3 linked regions of the Diceros bicornis minor genome follow. The protein of the gene in region 1 purifies or fractionates together with the protein of each later gene. This does not show direct contact. Links are inferred from orthologs where the notes say so. Each region holds a gene or a part of one and is shown in the gene's direction. Other genes may lie near its edges.

Evidence for each region.
Region 2: the proteins of TONSL (region 1) and ASF1A purify together in Homo sapiens (affinity purification with mass spectrometry; 4 studies listed by BioGRID and IntAct, counting the BioPlex papers as one, with this or other methods). This does not show direct contact. The link is inferred for Diceros bicornis minor from reciprocal best matches to the Homo sapiens genes TONSL and ASF1A.
Region 3: the proteins of TONSL (region 1) and MCM6 purify together in Homo sapiens (affinity purification with mass spectrometry; 3 studies listed by BioGRID and IntAct, with this or other methods). This does not show direct contact. The link is inferred for Diceros bicornis minor from reciprocal best matches to the Homo sapiens genes TONSL and MCM6.

What each region holds. Positions count from the first base shown.
Region 1 is NC_080760.1:57,048,744-57,052,489, reverse strand, and holds the start of TONSL (tonsoku-like protein), read left to right. Parts: upstream 1-1,318; 5' UTR 1,319-1,400; coding exon 1,401-1,425; intron 1,426-1,517; coding exon 1,518-1,613; intron 1,614-1,829; coding exon 1,830-1,972; intron 1,973-2,547; coding exon 2,548-2,731; intron 2,732-3,101; coding exon 3,102-3,231; intron 3,232-3,529; coding exon 3,530-3,701; intron 3,702-3,746. UniProt on the Homo sapiens protein: Component of the MMS22L-TONSL complex, a complex that promotes homologous recombination-mediated repair of double-strand breaks (DSBs) at stalled or collapsed replication forks.
Region 2 is NC_080762.1:17,474,106-17,477,851, reverse strand, and holds the start of ASF1A (histone chaperone ASF1A), read left to right. Parts: upstream 1-981; 5' UTR 982-1,286; coding exon 1,287-1,395; intron 1,396-3,746. UniProt on the Homo sapiens protein: Histone chaperone that facilitates histone deposition and histone exchange and removal during nucleosome assembly and disassembly.
Region 3 is NC_080749.1:21,382,048-21,385,793, reverse strand, and holds the start of MCM6 (DNA replication licensing factor MCM6), read left to right. Parts: upstream 1-844; 5' UTR 845-885; coding exon 886-992; intron 993-3,746. UniProt on the Homo sapiens protein: Acts as a component of the MCM2-7 complex (MCM complex) which is the replicative helicase essential for 'once per cell cycle' DNA replication initiation and elongation in eukaryotic cells.

The sequences.
Region 1 (3,746 bases):
TCTGCGTTCTCTTTGGATATTTTCTGTGTGTAACTACAGTTTAAAAAAAGTTCCAAACCATGTTTTGTCTGTGTTTCCTTATGAGAAGACAGCCTCATGGATGGGCTTTCCTGGGTTCTGCTAGCTGCCCAGCCAGGGGTCAGCTGCTGCCCCCGCTGGCCCCCAGCCTGTGGCCTCCCCACCCTCCAGCCCCTGCTCAGCATCACCTCATATACACATCCCTGTCTGATCAGTGGCGAAACTGAGGCATACAGAAGTTGGGTGCTCTCAAGGGGAATAGGGCCCCCAGGACCTGGGCTGTCCTGTGAATGCGGGCGCTGGAGGGCGAGCCAGGTCAGCTGGGGAGGCTCCCTCCGCCGTTCAGCTGAGCCAGTCTCTGCATCCCTGGCCTTGCTCCCCCACCCCGCCTCCACCGTCGCCCCTCGCTGTGCCCCGCACAACTTACCGCCAAGCAGCCGCCTTGGCTTCAGGGCCTCCCTGTCCTGCGTCCTGCGCCCCACACCCCTGACTAGGGGCCAGGCAGAGCACCTCACCCTCCAAGAGAAGAGGACGGCCACCCGGGTCCAACTTCCCACCTCCTGCAGCTCCTCGGGTTCGGTCTTGCCCCGACCCCTGCGGCCGGGCACTGGCCCTGGGCAGCCTTCCCTGGACCCATGGACCCATCCGCCCCCACGTCACTCCCTCCCCAACAGCTTGGCTGTGCATCCACTGGCTGAGTTTACCCCACTGGTCTGTTTCTATTTCCACAGAAAACAAATGAGTCCATCTCCCAGGGCTTCCAGCCTCCTCTGGGGCCTTTGAACGCGGCCAGTGCGTGGCTCCCAGGCCTGGCGGGGCGTGCTGTGCGCGGCCCTTACGTGGGGCCCGGGTGCGCGGCGTCCGCCAGGCACCGCAGGTGAGCGGTTTGCGCTACGGGACCCCGGGCCTGGATCCGGCCCCTCCGCCAGCAGCACCGGCCTCGAGTCCCAGAGGTGCCGGCTGCCGGACTCGCGGGTTCCGCGGTTCTGTGGGAGGGGGCAGCTGGTGCCGCCTCCTCTTACACGAGGGCAGCGCGTTCCGCAGGTAAAGTCGCACGTGCAGGTAGGTTTCTTGAGGGGAGGGGGTGTCAGCAGCAGCACGGGGCTAGAGCCCAGGAGACCTCCCCCAGGGCGGCTGAGGGGCCGGGGTGGGGGGCGGTTCAGCTCCCTGGGCCGCCCCGGGAGTCCGGGGAGGCGGGCACCAGCCAAACTACAGCTCCCAGGATGCTTCGGGCGGCTGGACTACACTTCCCGGGATGCTCCGCGGCCCGCGGGGGCGAGACTGGGCCTGCGCGCGGGCACTGGGGGCGGGGCCTGGAGCGGAGCCGCAGTGGTGGCGCGGGAGCGCGGGAAGTCTGGATCCCCGTGTGCGGCGGATGGAGTATGAGCCTGGACCGCGAGCTTCGCCGTGAGTTCCCCGGCCCAGCGCGGGGGCCGGGAGCGGGCCTGGCCCCCTAGGTAGAGGGGCTCAGCCTCTCGGCCTCGTTCCTCTCTCTGCAGAGCTGAGCAAGGCCAAGGCCAAGGCCCAGAGGAGCGGGCAGCTACGGGAGGAGGCCGCCCTCTGCCACCAGCTGGGGGAGCTCCTGGCCAGCCATGGTGCGTGCTCCGCGCCGGGCCCGGGGTGGGGCCCGGGGCTGGGGGGCCGGGAGAGTGAGGGGGGCAGCCGGGAGGGCCGTGGGGGTTGTGGGGCCGGAAGGGGGCCGGAAGGGACAGGGGACTGGGAGCCTTGCTGAGCGCGCCGCCCAGGGCCGGCCGCCGCCCCGCTTGCCCTCGCGGCCCGTGGCAGACTGCCCTGCCCGCCCGCCCGCCCAGGCCGCTACGCGGAGGCCCTGCGGGAACATCAGCAGGAGTTGCAGCTCCTGGAGAGCGCCGACGACCCCCTGGGCTGCGCCGTGGCGCACCGCAAGATCGGAGAGCGGCTGGCGGAGATGGAGGACTACTCTGCTGCCCTGCAGGTGGGCGGTGCCCCGCCAGCACCCACTCTGGCCACACCCCGCTTTTGTGGGCCGCACTTTGTGGGGGTCTCTTTCTGAGAAGGGAGGCACAGTGTCCACTGTCCGGGCCTCTGGCCACATGGGGACACCCTGCAACGCAACCTCACTTTCAGAGAGCCTTGTGCCAGGGAATGGTAGGTCAGTCCTTAAGTGGACACACACAGCCTCTTCTAGGAGCCTGGCCCCAGAAACCATTACCAAATGTATTATTTGAGCTGCGTTTGTGGGCCGGCTGGGGGGGTCGGGACACACTGTCCACACAGAGCCTGCCCTGCAGCAGCCCAGCTAACTCCTACTCATTGTCCCTCCTCTATGATGACACTAGCTGGCTGGAGTGTGGAGCTACTGTCCCCACAGGCAGCCCTTGGCATAGAGGAGATGGGGTGTGCGTAGTTTGGCTTTGGCCTGCTCTGGGGGGTGGTTTGAGGAGCAGGGGGCTCTCCTGGGCAAGAGTAGGGACGCCCTGGAGTTGGGGGACATGGAAGGTTTGCTTGAAGTGGGGTTTGGCTCACAGCAGCCATTCCTCTGCACCCTAGCACCAGCACCGCTACCTGGAGCTAGCCCATTCCCTGTCCAACCATATTGAGCTGCAGAGGGCCTGGGCTACCATTGGCCGCACCCACCTGGACATCTATGACCACCACCAGACACAGGATGCCTTGCTGCAGGCACAGACTGCCTTTGAGAAAAGCTTGGCTATCGTGGACGACAAACTGCAGGGTGAGTGCCCTCAGGGGCATGGCCTTCCCCACCATCTGCCCCCAAAACTGCAGGCAGAGGAGGTTGCAGCCTCCCTGCCAACCCTGCCTGCGTGGCAGGTTCCACCTGCCTGAGCCCTCCCTTTGTGAGACGGAGATCTGTCCTTAGAAGCCCTGCTATGAGGGGATGCATGGCCTGTGCTCATTGCAACGTGGCATCTGGTGATTGTCTGCTTTTTGTTTTTCCACACTCTGCAGCAGGACCCTTGGCACCTACAGTGAGAGGTGGGAGGAGGGGTGGGGGAGAGGCTGGACGGGCCTTGGACAGGGCCCAAAGCTGGAGACTCCAAGTGGGGATGAGGCACTGAGTATCTGGAGGGTGCGTCTTTCAGGGACATTGGCCAAGCGAGAACTGAGCGAGATGAGGACCCGACTCTACCTCAACCTGGGCCTCACCTTCGAGAGCCTGCAGCAGATGACCCTGTGCAATGACTACTTCAAGAAGAGCATCTTTCTCGCTGAGTAAGGCCCCCCACTCGGTCCCAAGAGGGAGCTGAGTCCCTGTTCCTGGTGGAAGTAGCTGGGGAATGGGCAACTGAAAGGGCAGGCTGGCTGGACCTCACCCCCGCCCCGTCCGTTTCCCATTAGCAGAGGAGCCCTGGCATGTGTGTGCTGCATGCTGGGGGGGGCAGCAGGCCTGGCGTGACAGGGCTGGAATCCCGAGTGGCATCAGCAGCTGCTCGTCAGTGCCTCGGGTGCCACTCTGCCATCCCAAAGTGGGAATGCCCCAGGCACTCTGAGCGCCTGTCACCACCCGCAGGCAGAACCACCTCTATGAGGACCTGTTCCGCGCCCGCTACAACCTGGGCGCCATCCACTGGCGCAGAGGGCAGCACTCCCAGGCCATGCGCTGCCTGGAGGGGGCCCGGGAGTGCGCACACATCATGAAGAAGGGGTTCATGGAGAGCGAGTGCTGCCTGCTCATCTCACAGGTGCCAGTTCTCAGTGGCTCTGGGCTCAGCCCCGGGGAGGCCTTG
Region 2 (3,746 bases), on another chromosome or scaffold:
CTGATGAATTAAGCAAAGCCTCCTCCAGACTTGCTTGTGGTGCCCTAAGTTTTTACTTACTAACGATTTAGGTCATGAGTTTTTTGAAAATCACTGTGTTGGTAAGCCTGTGTGTTCTCTACTCTCCTTTTCCTTTCTCATCTGCCGCCCTTTGGTCTCCTGACACTTCCATTTTCTTTTTTTCCGCTCTGCCTACCAAAAGGCAGAAACCTCCGGTGTAACTGATCACATCTCTTCCTCTTATTCTAGGACTTTGCAGATGGGAATGGGAGGAAGAAGAGCCAGGTGGAGCCCAAATATTACCTATTCAGATTTTCCAAGCAAAGCGTGTGTGGAAAAGCGCCTCCTCGCTCTTCATTTTGTATATTTAACTAACGGCGCTGTGGCGCCCAAACGCAGATATTGGCCGAGAACAAGATTTCCAAAATGGCTTTGCTCCTTTCGAGCTGGTATCGGTCTATAAAATGCAATTTATTTCCACTGCAACCAACTCTTCTCTCTACCCCAAATACTACTCAATGCATAGATAGCTGAAGCCAACCTAGTGTGGACAACCGAATCACATCTGCTAAATTCAGTACAGAGCCGGCACAGCCGTTGGACTGATGTAAAAACAGCGTTAAAAGAAACCACACGAAGCAAACCGGAGGGGCGGGTGTCGCCGAAGATCGCGCCCTCCCGCCGCCGTGCCTGCCGCAAGCACGCCTCCCGCCGCGGCCACGCCCCCCGCCGCCTCGGCCGCGGCCCCGCCCCGCCGGGGCCCCGCCCGACGTGACGCGCGGGAGCCGCGGGCCCGGGGGGCGGGGCCTGCGCCGCCCCTCCCCCCCCCCCGCCGCCGCCGCCGCCGCCGCCGCAGCCGGCGGCTTCCGCGCGGGCCTCCCAGCCCGTATTCCACTCACTTTGTTCTCCGCCTTTGTCCTAATCCACACCAGCAGGTGGAGCCGCAGTTAAAGTTTCCGAGTCCATTCCGGGAGCGGGAGCCCATCTTGCTCGCCGCCGCGGCCCTCGCTGGAGGAGGAGGGTCAGAGCTCGGGTGCAGCCAATCGCGGGCAACGCTGCTAGTTATCAGAGCAGAATGGGCTGTAGTTTAGTGAAATAGGAAAGCTGCAAAACACTGTGGAGTGTTCCCGTGTAAATAAAAAGAGGAAAAAAAAGTTTCTCAAGTCGCCGCTGCACGACGTCGGGCCGGCGCCGGGGCGGGGGTCTGCGCTCTCCCGAGCGGCCGCGCGCTGGACTTTATTGTGCCGCAACAAGCCCCGGCCCCATTGTTTGTGTGTTTTCAAAATATGGCAAAGGTTCAGGTGAACAATGTAGTGGTGCTGGATAACCCTTCTCCTTTCTACAACCCGTTCCAGTTCGAGATCACCTTCGAGTGCATCGAGGACCTGTCTGAAGGTGAGTGGGCGCCCGCCCGCCGCCGGGCTGTCAGTTGCGGGCTGCAGACGTTGAAAGTTTCCCGGGCCCGGCCTCGCGCGGGCGGGCGGGCGGCCGCGGCTCGGCGCCCGGCGGGCTCGGCTCGGCGGAGGGAAACTTGAAGTTGATGGGCGCCGGCGCGAGGCGCGCGCGGGTCGGCCGCAGCCGGGAAGCCCGCCGCGGCTCAACTTGCGAGGAACTTGTGCGAGCGGAGGGAGCCATGTTGTCAGCTTTGTCTGGCGGGCGGGCGGGTCGCGGGGCCGGGGGTCGCGCCGGGCTGGCCCCGAGCCGCCAACGGCCTCGGCGGCCCCGGCGAGGAGACCGGGGAGGGACAGGCTCGTGTGTGGTCGCGCCGGCGAGTGAGCAGCGGAGCCATCTTACCGGGAGGAGAGAATTGGGCCACCGACCCCGGCGTCACGACGCCTCCTCTCCGCGGGTGACGAGCGCGGCGCGGCGCCTGCCCACCTTCCTGCCCCCGAGCGCCAGGCAGATCCATTTTTAGAGCTGACGCCGGGCTGCCGTTCTCCTGGGTGGCCGTGCCCGGCCGCGCCGCGGGGAGCCAGGCTGTCCTCGCGCGGATCTCGGGCTCCCTCGACCAACCAGCGGGGGAGGCGGGCGCAGGCTCGGGCCCGCTCCCCGGGGCCGCGGGGGCTCCCGGCCGCTGCCGCCCGGCCGGCGCCCGGGATGCTCGGGGCGCCCGGGATGCTGGCGCGCAGGCTCGCCCCGGGCTGCGTGGACTCCTTTTCCGTAATGACTAAATCTTCTCTCCTCTCTCTCAGGAAGAAAAATATTGCTAAGCTAGAAAGTTACATTTAACCCAAGAGCAGAAATAAGTAAAATACTTAAATGTAATCACTGGCTTCTAAGTAGTCTGAAAGAAGACTTGCTTCAAGAACGTGTTGAAACCTAATTAAAATAACTCCACATCCAAACACCCTGAACATAAAACACAAAAGTGGGCTAGGAAATAAAAGGTAAAGTCCTGATGGCAATACAAAAATTTTTACTATTTTTTCTAAGTTCATTTTAAGGTCTTCAAAAAGAGAAATATTTTTAATATGTGCAGTAACATTTAGAAAGCTAAAACTTGCCAAGGTCTTATCTTTGCTTTTCTTAGATTTTGTTAAAATAGTCCAGTGCTTCATTTTCAAAATTTGAGGGGAAAAACTTTTTAACTTCATCAATGGTAATTTTACAATTAGACAGACATACTTCTTTGGACTTACAAGTATACTTAACAAAATGCATTTAAAATTATTCTAATGGCATGTAAAGCATTTTCACTTTAAAAATTAATTTTTAATCTCTATAAAATGTATTTTGTGTAGGGTGTTAACTTTTTAAATTATAAAAGCAATACATGCTCATTGTAATAAACTTTTAAAAGTTGTACAGACATATAAACAGTCCTCTGTATGCAGTGCCTTCACCCAACTCACTCCTGTGTGTAACCATAATTAACACTTTAATCTGTGCTCTTCCCATACAGTTTTAATACATATATAAAGCCTGTATACACATATATGTGTCACATTTTGAAAGATGATTCATTTATTAAACTAATTTTTAAATAGGCCATTGATAATAAAAATTAAAGATGATTTTTCGTATCACTCTGAAACCATTTGATTACTTTCCTGGAGTACTACTATAAGCATTTCAGCTACCAGGCCCATTTTTCATACCTAACAGGCACTAACTTTTCCTTTTTATTGCCATCTGCATGTAAAAATGAGTGAATGCAACAGAAACCATTGATCAGTCCATTCCAACATATACTATAGTGTTTTAGACATTAGAAGTTCTTCAAATTACAGATATTTCTCAAGTGATGCCTTCCATTTTAGGAGCTAGTTCTGACAAGGATGATAGATGATTCAGGATGTTGTTACAGGGCTTAAACATTGGATGGCTGAAACCCGCCATTCATGGAAGCACAACTATGCTCCATTCTTAACTGGGATCTATTCAGAACTCAGCTGAATCACATCAGAGTTTTTACAATACTAATGTCAAGAATATACCTACTTCTGCTTGTACACCTCACTTTCCTGGGCATCTATACTTGGCATTTATTTAATATTTTTTCAAAGAGTTTAAGCTGAGTCATACCGAAGCTGCAAAGGAATCTTTCAAAAAGGAGCTGTGCTTGTGTACTCCACCTAGAGGCTGTGTGGATTAAGAAAATTGAGTTTACTTAGCAAAGGCTTCTTACAGGTTCCATACTTTCGTATTGCAGTTCTTAAGGAAAAAAAAAAATCTATTCTTGAGATGAAACTACAGAACATTCTGAAGAGAAATTTTCACTTGATAATTTTGTCTCAAGTCCCAAG
Region 3 (3,746 bases), on another chromosome or scaffold:
TAATCTCTTGGCAGCCCAGGAAAGAGTGCTGGCTGGTGATACACATTTAGAAGTCATCAGCACCCAGATGTTAATCAAAGCCAAGGGAGAGAAGGGGGTCGCCCAAGAGAGCTCCTTTACGGGAAAGGAGGGCTCTGGAACCAGAACATTTAAGGGACTCGCTGAAGAAGAGGCGCCTACAAAGGAGGCTAACCAGGAATGGCCCAAGAGATTCTCCTATCGGGAGAGGAAAGACGGCCAAACAGGCGGGAAGGAAGACCGGGGGGGCGGCAAGCCAAGCCCGCGTTTAAGAGAGGAATTAATCAACAGTGTCAAACATTTGGCTAATTTTCCTCGGTCAGCACCAACCAGAATGATTCTGCCAACTCCTCCATCTCGCCGGTACTGTCTATACATCCCTAGTGGCTCTTTTAGTTTTACCCAGCGGTTTACTGTTTACTTTCTCCAATCAGACGGCTCAAGCAGGAGGTCTCTTACTCATTTTTCTCTTTCACAGAGCCTTACGCCTACTGCTCAGTTAATACCGTGGAATGATTTGAAGAACATTTGAACACCTGAACAAAGATCCAACCTTACAACTTGCTCCAGAAGCCAAATTCCCCAGGACACGACCACACTGCGCAGGCGCAAAGGCAGAAGCGCCGGCTTTCTCCGGGTCTTTGCGTTTGGCGCGAAATCCCCGCTCCGTGGGCGGGGCTGAGGCAGAAGCCGCGCTCATTGGGCAGGTTTGGCGCGAAATCCCCCGGGCTCCTGCGCCACGATTGGCTCCGTACGTCCAGGTGGGGCGAAGGGGCGGGGAGGCGGCGGCGCGCGCAAAGCGACAGCGTCCGGGGGGCAGCGACTTGTGGCGGTCGAGCGTGGTGGCCCCGTCAGCGCTAGGCAGCCATGGACCTCGCGGCAGCGGCGGAGCCGGTCGCCGGCAGCCAGCACCTGGAGGTCCGCGACGAGGTGGCCGAGAAGTGCCAGAAACTGTTCCTGGACTTCTTGGAGGAGTAAGTGTGCGGGCGCCCCTTCCTCGCGGAACTGCCCCTCCCCGCTTCCGGAGCCCGGGGGGCCGTGGGGTCGCTGCGTGTTCGGGAACCGAGGTGTCGCGCGCCTCTCAGAGCGGCCCACGCCCCACTTGGGGCTCAGCCTGGCCGCCGCGAGGAGCCCTGGACGGGCTGGGCTGGTTTCCAGGGGTACAGTCCATCTCGAGCCCTCCCTCAAACTCTTGCTGGGCCCAGTGCCCAGTGCTAAGCGCTTTACTCCCATCGCTCGGTCCTCACAGCCCGTGAGGCCGGTGGTCGTGTAGCCCCGGTGCCCTGCGCGGAAACTGAGGCTCGGTGAGGAGAAGTAAGAGGCCACGCGTCGACAGGGTCGGGCGGGAGGCCGAACTGGCCTTGGAATCCTGGCGGAGCCCTCATTGGACAGGCAGCCAGCACCCGGGTGCTGGGAGCCCCGAGGCCCCCCGCAGCCCTCGGGGCCTGTGCAGATGAAAGTACTGGAGTGAACCCTGGGGTTTGACAGCTGCTCGGTGAGGGTGAGCCCTGCCCTGCTTAAAAGTAGCTGAACGTACGCCCTCCATCCCCTCCTTCCTTCCTTTCCTTCCAACCCCCACCCCCACTTTTTTTTTGAGTTGCCTTCTAGGCTCCTGACCTCTCCTAACCCCCTCCCTGACTTTCCACCACGGCCACAGTTACTTCTCTTAGATAGTGTAGATAACATCACTGCTTTCCCTGAGAGTATGGTCTCTGCTGCCTCCAGGATGAAGTGGAAACACTATGGAATGTCTTATAAAATCCTTTTTTTTAATTGTAGTAAAATATACATAACATAAAATTTACCGGTTTAACCTTTTTTAAGCATAGAGTTCGGTGGCATTAAATACATTCATCTTGTTATGCAACCACCACCACCATCCATCTCCAGCACTCCTCTTCCCAAACTGAGACTCTGCACCCACTAAACAAGAACTCCCCGTTCCTCCTGCCCCCCAGCACCTCGCAACCACCGTTCTGCTTTCTGTCTATGAATTTGACTGCTTTAGGTATTTCATATACTTGGAGTCATACGGTATTGGTCCTTTTGTGACCAGCTTATTTCACTTGGCATAATGTCTTCAAGTTTCATTCATGTCATAGCATGTGCCAGAATTTCCTTTTTCAGGCTGAATAATATTTCATTGTATGTATATACCACATTTTCTTTCTCCATTCATCTATCCATGGACACTTGGGTTGCCTCCACACTTTTATGATTGTGAATAATTCTGCTGTCTTATGAAATTCTAATATACTTAAAACCATAATTTAATTTATAGTTCCTTACCTTTGGTGGTTATTCTCTGCTTGACAGCGGAGAATAGCTAAAGCCTAGCTAAAGGCTCATACTTCCTTTGTGAAACCCTATAAACTTTCCAGGCAGCACCAATCCTTTCTTCCCTTATGCTCCCAAGATGCCATTTTCCGTTATCTCTTGTAATGTAACATTATGTCTTTACCTGTCACCCACTTCATTTTGAATATGAATCCCATCCTTAACCCCACCTAGGCACCACACTACACTGCAAAGGTCCTCAATTAATGTTTCATTTCAACAAATAATATAATTGCCTCCACTGCCTTGCAGTTTACCAGGTAGCTAGATGCTGGGGACAATGATGAACAAGACAAATAATCCCTGTACTTTGTTGGGGGAAAAGATGTTAACTCCCTCTCAAAATAACCAACTTTGATTTGCCATTGCTTATGGAATAAAGGCCAAATTCTTCACAAGTCCTCTTTCCAGTTTCGTCTTCCACAACTGACCTGTCATCATCCACACTCCCCCCCATACCTTTTCTGACTTTGCCACATATTTGCAAACATCTGTAGCCAGTCTATCCACCACTCGTTTTTCTTTAAGATTGTAAGTCTTTCAAGGCTGAATTCCAGTGCCACCTTTTAGATGCATGAAGCCTTTCCAGATGTTCCTGTTAAGCAGAATTAGTTTAAATTCCCTTATCACATTTCTTTTACCTCCTCCTTTTTTTTCTTTCTTTTTCTTTTTTTATTTTATTGTGGAAAGAACACTTAACGTGCGATCTGCCCTCTTAAACAGATTTTTAACTGTACAATATATTACTGTTAACTGTAGGTACAGTGTTGTACAGTAGGTTAGAGCTTATTCATCTTGCTTGACTGAAACTTAATGCCGGTTGATTAGTACCTCCACATTTCCCCCTTCCTCCAGCCCCTGGCAACCACCATTCCACTCTTTGATTCTATGAATTTGACTATTTTAGATACCTTATATAAGTAGAATCATGCACTATTTGTCTTTCTGTGATTGGCTCATTTCACTTAGCTTAACCGTCTTCAAGGTTCATCCATGTTGTCACATTGCAGAATTTCCTTTTTTAAGGCTGAACAGTATTCCATTGTATGTGTATACCACATTTTCTTTCTTTATTCATTTGTCATGGACATTTAGGTTGTCTTGTACCGCTGTTTAGTAGGAATGTCTGCTAGAGAGTGTCAACCCAGGAACAACACTGTCATTTTCAGTTTCAGGTACCTTTGGCATAGTACTTTGCGTATAGATGTTGTTCAGTAAATATAACAGAGTTAGAACATGCTATTATAGGAGAAGGAATTGATTTCACCTCAAAACTAATCTGCGTGTTATGTTAAAAGACCAAAAAGCAAATATGTTTGTATAATACTCCTTTTGGAAACAAGCACACACCAGCTTTATTTTGTGTATATATATGTTTCTGTTTTCCTGAG